Linked DNA regions of Lepisosteus oculatus. The protein of the gene in region 1 interacts with the protein of each later gene in a pairwise test. Links are inferred from orthologs where the notes say so. Each region holds a gene or a part of one and is shown on either strand. Other genes may lie near its edges.

What was found. The genes of interacting proteins can lie anywhere in the genome.
Region 2: the proteins of E3 ubiquitin-protein ligase TRIM63 (region 1) and ckma interact in a two-hybrid assay, tested with the Homo sapiens proteins (2 studies listed by BioGRID). The link is inferred for Lepisosteus oculatus from reciprocal best matches to the Homo sapiens genes TRIM63 and CKM.

Annotation. Positions count from the first base shown.
Region 1 is NC_090706.1:9,008,289-9,015,205, reverse strand, and holds the start of E3 ubiquitin-protein ligase TRIM63, read right to left. Parts: upstream 3,014-6,917; 5' UTR 2,839-3,013; coding exon 2,680-2,838; intron 396-2,679; coding exon 229-395; intron 1-228. UniProt on the Homo sapiens protein: E3 ubiquitin ligase. Mediates the ubiquitination and subsequent proteasomal degradation of CKM, GMEB1 and HIBADH.
Region 2 is NC_090698.1:1,919,580-1,927,217, forward strand, and holds the start of ckma (creatine kinase, muscle a), read left to right. Parts: upstream 1-4,622; 5' UTR 4,623-4,733; intron 4,734-7,638. UniProt on the Homo sapiens protein: Reversibly catalyzes the transfer of phosphate between ATP and various phosphogens (e.g. creatine phosphate).

The sequences.
Region 1 (6,917 bases):
TCAGCTATATTCACCACAAATGGATTTTTCTTGGTTGTTCTACATGTAGGTGTACTTCGTACTGTACCGTGACTGCGTTGTGTGTCCGCCTTCTTACTTAGCAGTTCCTTGTAGATGTTAATGTTGTCCTGCAGCAGCAGAATCAGTCCTACCATGCTGTACTGTAAACACCGTGCGTGTGGTCACACTGCACAGTGGCAAGCCATTCTCTGCAGCTGTTGCTCTGACCTGCTGCTCTCCTGTTTGTAGATGTCGATGATGTTCTCCACCAGCAGATTCCTCTGCAGCCCGTAGACCCCGTGCCGGTCCAGGACCACCTCGTGACGACATGATGGACACCGGAAACGGCCTCCCGAAATATTAGTACCACGGGACGTCCAGTACGGGTTTGCAGCCTGGAACAACCAAAAATGTGGAATCAGCAAGCCAGTAGGGGAGCATCTCGTGGGCATTAAATGTCAAGGCAAAGTGGTCCCATTGCCGATACTTGCTGGCAGGCACAGGCAAGGTGTGTCTCATTAGAATATTCAGTATGTCAAGGGACGTTCTAATGGTAAGGCACTGCAGTCCCAATATCCTTCTGTTTCTCCAGTCACTGGTTTCTACACAAAGAATGGGACTCTGTTGTTAATTAACAACACTTCTAGTTTCTTGGAAAGGGATCACAAATAAAATTCCATTATTATCATTATTAAAAATAAACTTGGTGGTTCTGGCTCTGAGTTACAACCATGGTTGCTGTAGATGAACACTGAAAATGGATCATGTCATGATGCTGAGAGACACAAAGCAGGTTAACACTGAATTTTAATAGGCACAGCAATTTTAATAGGCGCCTTGCGCTATGCTCGTCTGTCAATGTGCTACCCCACTTTAAGTCAGCTGTGTACAAGGAGCTCTTCTCAGGGCTTGGTACTGTCACCACTCCTCCCAGTGGGAGTCAATTGCTACAGTGGCTACAGCCAGCAAAGTGATCTACTCCCTCCATCTGCAGCAAACAGCAAGTGTTTACAAGCTTACTGTAACCATACCAGCGTTCTATTTTTGGGTTAATAGAAATGCTTGGGGTTAATGTGACCACAAGCCCAGAAAAACACTGGGAAAGTCAGTCATTCTGCCATAATCTGTTTTTATATACCACCTTTCAAGATCTCTTTATGAATGAACAAAACATTCTAAATTCAAATCTAACTCTAACTGTAGAGTATGTTCAAATAAAAAAAATAAATTAGTGAATACAGAAGTTTATTATTTTTATTTTTGTCTTATATGCAATACTGATTAGAGTATTGATAGCACTGACACTGTAGTAGTCAAACCTTGGTCAGTATCATAAGGTATTTCCCATTATAAACAGCCATTTATAGCTTATTTATAGCTAATACTTATTTAATTATCCTTATTTATAGCTAATACTAGCTAGATACTACCTTTGATAGCTTATACTAATCTTACTATCTTTGCAACCTTTTCCCAAAAACTGTACAGTAACTATCTGTTATAATGAGAGCTTAACTGATTATGCTGTTTAGGTCTTTAAAACATCAAAAGGAAAACCTATGTTTGATTTATGGTATAACTCTGTAATCCTTTGCATTTGTCATGTCACTATGAACTGGACTAAAAAACCGAGATGCTGAATATAAATCATATAAGTGTGGATTTCAAATTGAAAGCCAGCTTGTTTTACATGGTCAGGTTTACACAAGCATCTTAAGGGGAGAAGATGAGACTGATTTTAAAACAACAATTGTGGGAACAATGTGTATTTCAACTGATTGGAGTGCCTGCGACATAACAGCATTGCATTTTTACATGCAAGATCTTACATGAATATTAGCTATAAATCAGCTCCAATATGTCTTCTGTTGCTTATATCATACCCTCAATTAAAATCTTAAACTTTTTCTCAAATAGAACTATTCATGGAAAAGATACAATATTAAATCAAACAGACATTTCAACACACCACAGAAATAGACCCATGTAGTCCTTGATGACCTGCTTTAACAGCTTTTGTTCTCTCCACCTAGTCTCTTGTCCTTCCATGGATAAGGTGAATGGCTCATTCCAGGACATCAGTCATTTTATTATTCTAGCTGAAAGACTACAGAAACAAAGCACACTGTATCCTAAGACAACCTTTGCGTTCTGTTCAGCGTGAATGGTAACACGTTTGGCAAGCCAAAGGCTAGACTATCTTTCTCTAAGGCAATCCTGGAATTACTTTGCATGAGAATTCTGGTTCTATTTTGGTGGCTATGACCCGCATTGCCAATCTTACAAATGACCACATAAAAAAATCTGCTTCTTGCATTGTCCAGTTTTTGCAGACAGCCTTTGGACAAATAGAACGAACTACCCAAGCCAGTAATTGAAACTTTGACTCGTCTTCTTCTGCATGAAAAAGATTCCTTAAGAGCTAAATTAAAGTGTGTCCTTAATGTTAGAAATAATAGATTAAACCATTGCATGGAATTACACTGGGTTCTGATTTCAGTATTTAAATCACCTTTTCCTGACAAATAATTTTCACAGGATAGATGCATAGCTAGGTAGCAGAAAGTTTGAGCAACAGCATGAGTAAATAAAAATAAGTGACTAGAAATTGATGTTTCTCTACATTCTTACTGCAAAGACTGAAATTCTGGTCTCCAAGCACTGAGGTACATAGCTCACCTGAAACACATCATTGGCACATTTTCGACACAGGTTGTGTTGGCAAGGCAGAATGACCACAGGCTTGGAGAAGATCTCCAGGCAAATGGGGCAGATCAACTGCTTCTCCAGGTTCTCCATCCTGTTGGACTCCTGGATGATGCTCGATTGGAAATCCATGTCCTTAGATTTATAGTTGTTTAAACAGCTTCTTGGCCTTTATTCACACTCTTTTCCGGGAAAAGAAAGAAGCTCCTTTTTGTTATAACTCCTCTGTCTTTCCGAATCATTGCAGGCATGTGGAGAGTTTTGCCTATCACCCAGCGTCAGGCTCTATTTATACCCCTGGATGGAGTCACTTGATCCCAGCCCTGCTCCTGTGCATTCCTGGGGTCTGATAGCTAGCCTAGAAAAATCAGCTCTCTGCCTGTCCTTATCACATGCTGCCCTGAGGAATGCCTCTGCAGGATATCTCTCGTAGAACCCCTTAAAGGGATAGATTACAATAAATCTGGTCATTTTCCCTGTAGTTGGCTTATTTCACACACTGCTGTGTACAGTATGTTCTTAATGATTCTACAGGGTCTCGAAGAAAGCTCCTACTGTTTTGTTTTGTATTTATTGCTTATTCTGAGTAAATCATGTTAGTTTGCATTTATTAACAATATCTTACCAATACTTTTGTGAACCTATGAATATGGTACAAGATTGTTTCTTCTTTAATGTAGAAACATTTACAATAGAATATGTGCACCATCCACTGTGAGAATGTGTCACTCTTGACATGAAGGCCTTGTCAAGTAGTTGCATACAACAGGTCTTCTATAAAGCCAAATACAACTCCTCATTTGCACATGCATTCCTGTTTGCTTTGTCTGGGTTGGACACCCAATAAAAAACAGTTACACTTACTTGAATCTCGAGAATATGCAGGCTGAAAACAACCAACACTGTATAATCTTGAATTGAAATGATCTAATTCTCAAAAGTCTTAATCAACAGTTGACAAAAGGGGGCAAAATTAAAACTGGGCCAAATTAATCTGTGAAACAAATAGAGAAACAACACTTTTCCTGCCCTATCCCTAACCCAAGCCAGGGTTTAGAATGAGCAAATCTGCAATCTGTCTCTAAAGCCCTCAAATTATCAGATTTTAAAATGTTTCAGAAACCAACAGATATGAGGAAAAAATCAAAACTACTGAAAAAAGCTCTTGGAAATTTATCATCTTTAAGACTCCTTTAGACACATTTTTCAATCAGCTGTGAAACACTAAAAATGGTCTTCAAGATGATTGTGCATTTCAGGCTAGATTAGGGTTAGGGTAACAAGAACCCCTTAAAAGTTGACAGCAGTTAAACATTTATTTGCACTTTGACAAAATTAAGAGAGTTTAAACAGTAGAACAAGTTTTTTTACAACTTTTGATCTGGGTCACCATTGCAATACACTTACTGAACACTGTACAACATGAGTAGCCAAAACTCTCCAAAAAAAGAAGAGCAAATTATCAGCACTGAGCATAAAAAATGTGTATGTAGTGTACGAATGCTAACCCTAACCCTAGCCAGGGTCCGAGTTAGCAATTCTGTAATCTGTCTCTGAAGCCCTCAAATCAACAGATTGGAAAATGTTCCTCAAACCAATTAATATTAGAAAAAATAATCAAAACCACAGAAAAAAGCTTGTGGAAATGTTTCTTCTTGAAGACTGTATCTTCTTTAGGCAAATTTTCAATCAGCTGAAAAACGCTATTACAATAGTATTTAAACAATTGTGCATTTTAAGCCAGAGTAGGGTTAGGGTTACAAGAACTATTTAATATTGACTGGAGTTATAATTTTAGTTGCATTTTAAACAACAAAATGTTTTCTTACAACTTTATATTTGACTCACTTTTGGAATAGATACCGAACACTGTAATAAACAATATGAGCAGGCAAAAATCTTTGAAGATAGGATCAAATTATCAGTCGTCCTAAATTTCACCTAAGCCCCCAAATCCAGCGGTGATCGTAAAATATGTGTAAGTTCTGTGGGAATGCTACCCCTAACCAAATCCTGCAGATTTGAAAATGTTACTCAAATCAATAAATATATGTCTAAAAGCATTAAAACCACTGAAAAACGCGCTTGGAAATTTACCGTATCTTCTTTAGGTAAATTTTCAGATAAAAAAACGCTGGCATTTCAGGACAGAGTAGGGTTAGGTGAATAGAGTTATGGTCTATCCTAGCAAAGCAAAAGATGCAAGTCAGGATACACATCACAACCAATTTTCTCACTAGTCAGAAATTCATCAGTCCCATCCATCTTCAAACCTCTTCATCCAATTCAGGGTCGCAACGGAGCTAGTGCCTGTCACGCCAAGCAACTGGTGCAAGGCAGGATACACCCTGAATGGGATGCCAGTCCCTTGCAGGGCACACATAGACACAAACACCCACACACATTCACGCCAGGACCAATTTTCCTTAGAGCCAGTTACTCAACCAGTATGTTTTTGGACTGGGTGGAAATCAGAGCACCCAGAGGAAACCCACAGAAACATAGGGAGAACACATGGTGAACATGCAAACTCCACACAGAAAGCACTCCAGATCAAGCCCCAGCACCGTGAGGCCGTAATGCCAACCACTGCTAAGTGGGACATCTGAACATATTGAGCTAAAATAACAGGATGGAGTTACTCTAGTGCACAAAACTGTTGATCAGCATGACTAAGACAAACAAGTCAGACGATTCTATTTTGTATCAAAATACAGCAGAGACAGTGGTTTCTAGGGAAGAGGAGATAATAAAAGCAGTTCTGCCTGTATGAAAAGGGGGTCACAGCATATGCATCCGAAGCCGATTGTTACTTACTGTACAAGTCTGCTCATGCAGTCTCGAGACCTTTGGCTCAATTTCCTGCCCATAGTGTCAGCCAGGCTAAGCTATTTCTGGCCCTCCCACAGACTGTAAACTCATAACAAGAATAACAGGTTGGCAGTGTCATGAGTATTGAATTTTACTGTCATAGCACAGAAAATATAAAATGGAACTTTCAGTTGTAATACAGTGAAAGAACAACAAGCAAACTACAAAAACTTTCTATGCACATATACAGTTGGTGGTAGAATAAATACTAGGTGTTCTATCAATCGCCTTTTTAAAATGGTAAAACATTAACAGGAAAACTTTCAAAACATTTTATTCCAGTGCAAAATGTGTTTCTCTCCCTATTTGAGTTTATTTAAACTTCCAAAGCTACATTTAAAAAAAAAAACATAATATTTTACACATATTGCCTCTGGTCTATCTGGTATCATCATATGTTCAGTATGTTAGGATTTAGAGTTCTTTTAGAGCAAAAAACATCAATCCCCCTGTTAGTTTATTATAAAGCAACAGAAACTCACTTTCTTGAGTGGAATTTAGCTAGGACATTTGTTAAACACATCTACACCTATGAACAGTGGCATGACCTTGTAGTCAGTACAGGTACCTTTAACGCCTCATCCAAAAGACTGTTCCTCTTGTGTGACCTGTCACCATACTAGAGCATTGGTTCAGAGGGAAGCATGTTGCATACTGGTACACCACCACCACTTATAGCTGCAACTTCTTCCTTGCAGGTCTTCCATCTGAGTACTGACAAGACCCAACCTTGCTAAGCTTCTGATGTGAGGAGATATCAAGCTAAATACTGGTAACGTTGTCTATTGATGTTATGGGCCCAAGGAGCTTCAGTTGTATTACTGTGTATCATTCACGTGCTGAAACAGAGGGATGCCAGATCACCAGTTCAAATATCATTAAAATGCAAACCCACTCTCATAACATGAGCATAAAAGTACTTTATTAAACACAGGAAATGGCAGTATATACATACATGTAATAGCACCTTTTGCCTACCCGGGCTTTTGTGCAACGTAGGCTGTTGTAAAGTACAGAGGACATATGTAGTTCATGAAAATTCAATGCTTCGTTCCCCGCTGGAACAATTTTTCTTAGAGAGCAGCCATTTGTTTTTTTTACAAAAGACTTTACATAACATTTATTACAAGAAATATCATATCACGGTTGACACATTTTTCAGACCTGAGATCCATGCAAGATAAAGGAGAAATTACAAAATATTTTTTTTTTATCAGCTGTCCAGAATTCTAAATAAAAAACATACATCTGGTACACCTGTGGCTGGTACTCTTCCAACAGAAGGTCTGTTATTTACTGTAGTCCTGATGGGCGCACACCTCTTTTCCAGTTTGTTTTTA
Region 2 (7,638 bases), on another chromosome or scaffold:
TGATTCTTTGCTTCAGGTAAAAATGAGCTCATGCTTTCCACAGCATGTTGGACTGGGATAGAAATAAAGCTCGCATGTGTGTAGCAGTTTGTCTAGGTTCAGAATTCATTTCAAAATCATAAAAGTAACACACATTTGTATTATGAAATGCTCATCTGCCTCTGCAAATAAATTAATTACAAGAGTTTCCAAATGCAAAAAAAAGAACCAGCTCAAAATACCTTGCAGTGGCTGTCTCCTATCATATGCAGCTGGTGAGGTGCACTACACATATCTGCAAATATCCGAGAGTATTTGAGAATTCATTTGGTATCTATCAATAATACGGGCCACAGGAGAATGTAGAAAAGTAGCAGAGAGCAATCGTTGTCAGAGGGCATTCAAAACGCACTGCTATTATAAAAATGAGCACCTCTGATCATCGTGAAAACATTGTGTCTGCAATCCCATTGTGCAAATTTCACCCATCTGTATGAGAGCCTGCAACAGGCTCCACTGCATGATGCACTGGCCGCTGCCCTGTGAGTGTCTGCTCTGCTTTGTGCTCTGTGTGCATGAGCGTGCCTCGCAGTTTCCTCAGGTTAACCCAAGAAGAGGTTGTCAACAGCCTGTCAGCCAGAGGTTTTCACAGAGTCACAGCGAAGGCCACAGGCAAACCTCTCTGGATTACATAACCAGTTCTGCTCCACACTGCACTGTTAGACAGTCAGGCATCCCACTGCAGGCTATTCTGGAAAGTCACCAGTGACCTGCGGCTGTTGAGCCCTTTGCTCAGCAGCAGGATCACACTTGATGGCCACTGGCCAAAGACTTTACTCACACTCCCACCGACCTGTTTCCCACGTCCTGCTTCCTGCTCCCAGTTCCCTCTGTCCTTCTAGCTCTGCTTCCTCCTTCCTCCCTGATTTCAAACAGTTCCTTTCTAATTGCAGCTGGGACTCTAACCCGCCCATGAAGACAATAGCCCATGAGTTATGAGTCCGAGCTGCACTCAGAATCTCAGAGAAGAGACAGACCCAGCGAAGAACACTGAACACTTCCAAACACCAGTTTTGCAAAGAGTTGTGTCAGAGGGACACTTACACTCCAGCAGACTGAAAAGTGCACTTACTCAAGCGACACAGGAAAATGGCCTTGTTTTGTCATTACCGAGGCTCATCAAAAGGAAACCAAGCAATAACACAACTGTAAAACGGCATCATTCAACCAGCTAACAGCTGAGGTGTAAACTCTGAGCACAGCCACACAGTCAGCAGGACATGCCAGAGCTGTAGATGTGGGCTGTCTTGAAGATGGTCATGGTGATTGTGCCAGCTGGCCTTCTGTGTTTCTGCAGCCTCCCCTGTGGCACCTGGTTTTTTTGCGTTTGCTGTGGGTGAAGGCAGGAGACAGGGAGCATGCGATAGGGGAGGACAAGGGACAGGGAGCCCAGGCAGAGACTAATTTGGTAAGTCATGTCAGGGATGGACAGGAGCTCAACAGCTGCGAAACTGAACCCTCAGGGCTGATTTAGAGCAAGGTCACTTCGGTGCCACCCCTCCTCCAGCTCCCTCCCTATTCCCCCAGCATTACCCTGCCTTCTGCCCTCTCTTCACCCCCCACAACCAATGCTCATCTGCTGTTTGGTTTTCTTCTCCACAAGACTTTCTGTTTCTACCTTTCATTCTGTAAGCCTTTGCGGACTTTACAGACTAACTAAAAAGTATCTCTTCATCCTCTGCCACTTTCCCACGAATTTCAAACCAGGACTTCAGCTCCCATGCTAACGCTGCTGAGAGTCGATCCCTGTTCACTCACACTCAAGGTCATTGTGCTACTCGGGGTGCAACAGCAACACAATAATCAGCCGCTGCAGGCATCCTCTGTGCAATATCACAGGTGTGCACATCTCCTTACACACTGCAGTGTCTCAGTCTGTATCCCCAACACCCAGCTGGGATTCTGTAACGTGGGGATGTGGGGGAACACATTCAACGTGCACCACATGCACAAAGCACAAACAAATCTGAATTCTACAGAGATCCTTGAGGTAAACCAGCACTGGTCCACGAGAGCAGCTGTCCACCTGGTCTTCTCAGCTCAAGAAAACCATTGTCTATTTAAGACCTAGGGAGAGAATTAATTTGGTCCAATGAAGCTAACATCTGGCTTTAAAAGGCAATGAGGACATTTAGGAATTTGGAGATGAACATCAGAAGACTCTGTGGTCCTGGAGGGCTAGAGCTGAACACCCCCAACGTGAACCCAAATAACCAGCAATGGAAAAGGATGTCTGGCTCACCTGTCATACATTAGTTTCTTGTCTTACTAACATTTTAAATTGCAAGGAGGAGGATAGCGATTGGGCCAGTTGTTTCCGACTTTTTAAACTCCCTGATCAGTCTCTTCTTTCCACTCATGTCCTACTACTGCTGCTGGACGTACTGCGGACACAGAAACAGGTGGAAAGGAGTTCTTTCCTTCGTGTTTCTGCTCTCCTCCCTGCAGAGCCTCAGTGAGGCTGCGGCCTGGTTTCTGGTCACATGGTCCCGCTGGATAAACCATTAGTCCCGAGTGGGGGCTGATGCCCAACAGGTGCGGTCGTCACAGACTGTACTGCTAGGAGGGGGAGGACTGAAAAATGCTGCACCCGAACTGTGCTTGCCAACTGGAACAGCAAGCGGGTCTTACACCTGCCCGCTGGCACGACCTACGGAGCGTGTGATGTCCTTTCGTTCTCTGGCAGCGACGTGTGCATACCACTGGAAATAGCCTCAGCGACAGAAAGAAAAAAAACAACCCTGTTGCTGGGGCTTCTCTGACATCCAGAGGCGCAGAGCTGGGCTGAACCTCACACAGACAAGTATCCTGCAAATCTAGCCCGGTGGAAAAGAGTTCTCTCGCAAACTGCCCTGGCTGGACACATCACAAGCCTTAGACCCCCGTGCGGCACTAGAGGGTTCAGAGGTGTCACTTTTAACCACAAGATTGTTCTCCATGGTTCCTGTCCTCCTGTCCCTTGCACAACACACTAAAACTTACAAACTGCCTTTTAAAAACTTGAGTTGTTCTGCTCAACCTGCTGTTATGTTACTCTTCTGCTACAGCCCTGTTTTACTAGATTGCATAATGCTGTGAGGACTCAGACTGGGCCATCAGTCCTCCAAAACACATTTTGATCGATCATTGATCATCCTTCTCAAGCACTTGTTCTTTCGTCAAGAAATCACCTCTTGCCATCAACACTGGACACTAGCAGGGAAGGACAACAGTCATTTTTCTAAGCAATAGAAACATAATTAGACTGCTCACAGCCACAAATACTCCCTGAGATATAAAATGAAATTTGTTTTAATTTCACATCTAGTAGCTAACCGCACAATTGTCCAAGAAGATAAATAGCTCTTCAAACTGAATCTGTATGAGCCAGAACTTAGGCAATTTTTTTATCTCTAGGCTTCTCATGGGGATTGATGGCATCTTTTGATCTCTTCTGTCTATCCATAAACCTCAAAACTTCTGTCTGCAATGCTAATAGTTATTAAAATGGTTTCATTTTCTCTGCTTTAAAGGAAATGCTTTCAAAGCCCAATCATGAAAGAAACCATCAGAAAAGTCCCCTTGCAAGTGATCTTCTGCTCTTGTCAATAACAGCTTTGCTTGCTGACAAACAACAAACCTTCTTTGCACAGCTGAGACACCTCTGCTCTTCCAAAATCGAACCATGAGGCACTTAAAGAAATCTTTTCCTGAAAACCATCACTTTCGCATCAACAGCCATGGAAAATAAATCCAAGACAAAAGTTGCAAAATCTCTTGCCCAGCCCCAGGAAGCCAAGGAATCTTAGGATAATGGGATACAATTTTAGCTTCTAGGACATGTGACACTGTGTTGATCTGTGACACAATTCTCACACCTGTCTACAGTTTGACACATGAGAGGCCCAGAGAAAGAACAATAGGCAGGGATAACAATTGTATAACTCCAGTAGCAGATCATTAAAGAAGCTCTCCTCTTCAGATATCACAATCATCTTTCACAGTTAGAGCCCCACAGCTTCTTCTTTAAGGTAAACATCTCCTTCAGCACGGTTCTTGTCCAAACTAGGGACCCCCTCCACACACCCTAACCCAAGCTGCCCCGGCTGTGCTCCCCGACTCACGGAGACTCAGGAGCGCAGCTGCTTAAATATCCCGCACCGATGGAGGACTAGCAACGAGAAGCTGCCTGACAAGAATAAAAATCAATCATTTTAATCTCAATACGCACTCTGCCACACACAGGCGCATGCTTAAGTCCCAGATGTCACCACGCTGAAAGCAGAGAACCAATGCCAACTCTACGGTGCGTGATACGGAAGATAGCAAAGGTATTTTTCCAGCTCTAAAGCCATTAGGCACGGCAAGTATGTTTGGCAAACGGGGGCTTGGGTTTGCACACGCACATGGAGGCTCTCTCCTCCCCCCCGAGCTGCATGTGGGCCTGGAGAGCAGGAAGAGAGATGGCAGCTGCCGTCCCATCTTAGGTCACTGTGACGTGAGCCCCTGCCTTCCCAAATCTGAGCAGCGCTGGAGACGAGGGGCTGACCAATCCGGGCTCCGCACTCAGAAACCCAGCTGACCAATGGCCTGAGGGCAGCCTAGTATATAAACCTAAGGCTTGACTCCTTGGACCTTGGGCTACCCCTATTTCGGCTTTGGTGAAAAGGATCTGATCCCAAGGACTGTTACCTCTCCTTTTTCATCCCATCCAGGTAAATCCTCTTTGACTGTCCTTGGATGTTTTGGTGGGGTGGGTGAAGGGCAGATTGGGGTGTTCTGAAATGTGTCCTAGTAAAAAAAATAAAGCTTCATTTTAACTCTTTAAAAAAAATAAAAGTTACGATCTACCTCCAAAACCAGAGGGAAGGCATTATTCACTTTTAATTATCCATTTATTTGTACATTGCTTTAAAACTCCCATTTGCTGTGTAAAGAAAGGACCACCAAGGGTCTGAACAGTGGCCTGCTGTTGCATTTTTTACAGTTAAGCTGTGAGATTTTGCTAGGTGAAGTGAAGTTTTTTGCTAGGACTTATGAAGTGTTACTGCCGATCTATGGGTTTTGGACCTGGCTTGTGACTTTGCACAGAATGTGACATTTCTGACCTCCCATTCAAGATTGCAAACTGCTCGAAACTCCTGTGGGTTTCACAGAGGGCTCTGCGTTGAACAAGGCTGCACTGCACCATCGCGCAAAGTGGTGGAGCTCTGTGCCCTTGGCTCTTATCAGCTGCTTGTGTGAAGGGTCTGTGCTGCAGAACGCAACACAGTGGCAGCAGGGAGAGAGGGCTCTGTCGGTCCTCATCAGCCCTGAGAGTGAAGGCAGTAGAGATCAGGGAAGAGGTGGAAGGAGAGGGCATGAATGGAGAATTTCGCTTCTCTTATGCCGTGTTTTATCAGTGAGCGTGGACAGGGCAGTGTCACCGGTCTCTGCCGGACTTTACGATGCCAAAGTCAAGGACCCTTCAAGGTCACAGGAGAAGAAGAAAATACCAGACTTGGCCTTTTGGTTTTATACCTATCGGCTCCAAATGTGCACCTGATGTAAAAGGAAGAGGTGTTATTTCAAGATTGCTGCAGTGTAACACAGAGCAATGAGCAGTTGCAAAGGTATATTGTGTTGCAATGCAGTGCCACAATGTTCCCATTTACTTGTGAATGTCTAACAGTGGCAGACTTATCTTGATTTTTTTCTGCATAACTGCTTAACCACTTAAAAACACTTAGAAAGCATTCTGTATCTATTGGCAAATGCTAAAGGCTTGACAGCAAGTATTTGATAAGTACTGTGTCAGTGCCAATACTAATCACACTAATCCAAAGTACTGTAGTTGCAATTTGCAGGTGATGGTCCACTTACGACAAGTGTACGCACAATCAATACAACACAGAGTGCTGTGTAATCTGTGTCTTGGTCTTGGTGTGATAAGCTGTCATGACAGCTGACGATTTCTGATTTCTGTCTCCCACACCACCTGTCTTTGTCACACAGTCCACAGCAGTTCGCTAACGTTGTATGCAAGCGAATGATCTATGGACGGCTTTTTGTTTGAGATTTTTCTCTCCTTCCCCATCTAAACCAGATTCCAGAAGAGCCAGACATCAGATCCCTTTCTGTCCAGTTTCTCTTGTCACTGGTGTGGGAATTCCTTCTCCTAGGATAATGCAGAATGAACTCAGCCAGAGATGGTCCTGTCCATGAAAGCCCCGTTTGTGCTCAATTATTACTTTGCAAACTTGCTGGCTTTCTCTGACAAAACCCACTTCAATTTCCTGGTGCAACAGCTGCCCTGGCATTGATGCTCTGCAAAACAAAAAAATTGGACTTTTTTAACACTGGTACATTTTAGTTCAGAAAAGTTAAAGGAATGAAAAAAACTGAACAATCCAGAAAAAAGAAAGACATCTTTCTTGTGTAAGACATCTGGCGACAAAAACCTGGTCATCTAATAAAGAAATGAAAAATCTCAGGTTGTTGCAGATGGGTGTGTTGCTGACATGTTTGATGCTTAAAAACAGAAGTTTGAGTTCCAAAACACCAGAGAAAATCTGGCACTCCACGAAATGTTTAAAGCGGTCCTGCAGGAGGTTCTTTTCTTTAAGGAGAGAAACAAAATGAACATCACCAACAGACACTAGCAGACTCAGGTTACACAAAAGACTTTTTTACTTACGTTTCAGGAAAAAAAACAAGTTCTGCATTAACTAGAGACAACGTTACCTCCTACAGCCATCCAATGATGAAGCTGAAAGAGTTTCAAAGCAAACCAGAAGCTAGCAATGAAAGTGCCCCAGAGTAAAGTGTTGTCAAGGGAGTTAAAAGATATAAAACTGCCCCCAGAGGAGCAGCTGCGAGCTGTGCATGTTGGAGAGGCATCTGCATGCAGTTTAATTGCCGGACGTGTGAATGCAGGCCGGGCCAGCCTGTAAGCTGATCCTCAGGGAGAGCTGTTCCAGAACAGAAGACAGCAGCTGCATGGCAGAGCACATTTGCCTAGTGTGCTCCCTTTAAGTGGTGGGAGATAGGAAAGAATGGGGGGGGGGGGGCAGCCTATTTATACATGCCGCTACCCTGTGCACATACACCCACAGAAGCTCCTCTCGTCTCTATTCATAGAGGAAACCTGATGCGCTGGCTGAAGCAAGCTGGGAGAGCCTTAGCAAAGTCTGCAGGGCTGTTGGATCAGTTGACACATGGTACAGTGCACAGCTGTTCCCAGCAGTCTCCCCTCCCCTCAGCTCCTTGCTAGGCTAGGGATGAGCTGGGCATTTAGAATAGCAAGACACTGGATGATTTTTGCACACCAGGATCAAAAATGGACCTTCCATAACCCTGGAAAAGGAAAAGAAGGCGGCACTTCAGTGTGGAGACCATCCAGCTAGACACTTTCTGCATTGCACATCTCTCAGAGTGTTACTGTATGACGCTGTGTCTACAGTCAAATTGTAGATGTAAAGAGACCAGTAGGAACTAGTACCAGGAGCTTCAGCCAGTGCACTTATATTCTTATAATGAAAAGAACAGCATTAGACTGAGACTCTGTACAGTGGAGAGTTTTGTCGTCTGTGGGCTCCCTGCTTCGTTCTGTCAAACAGATGACTTACCCGTCTGTGTATT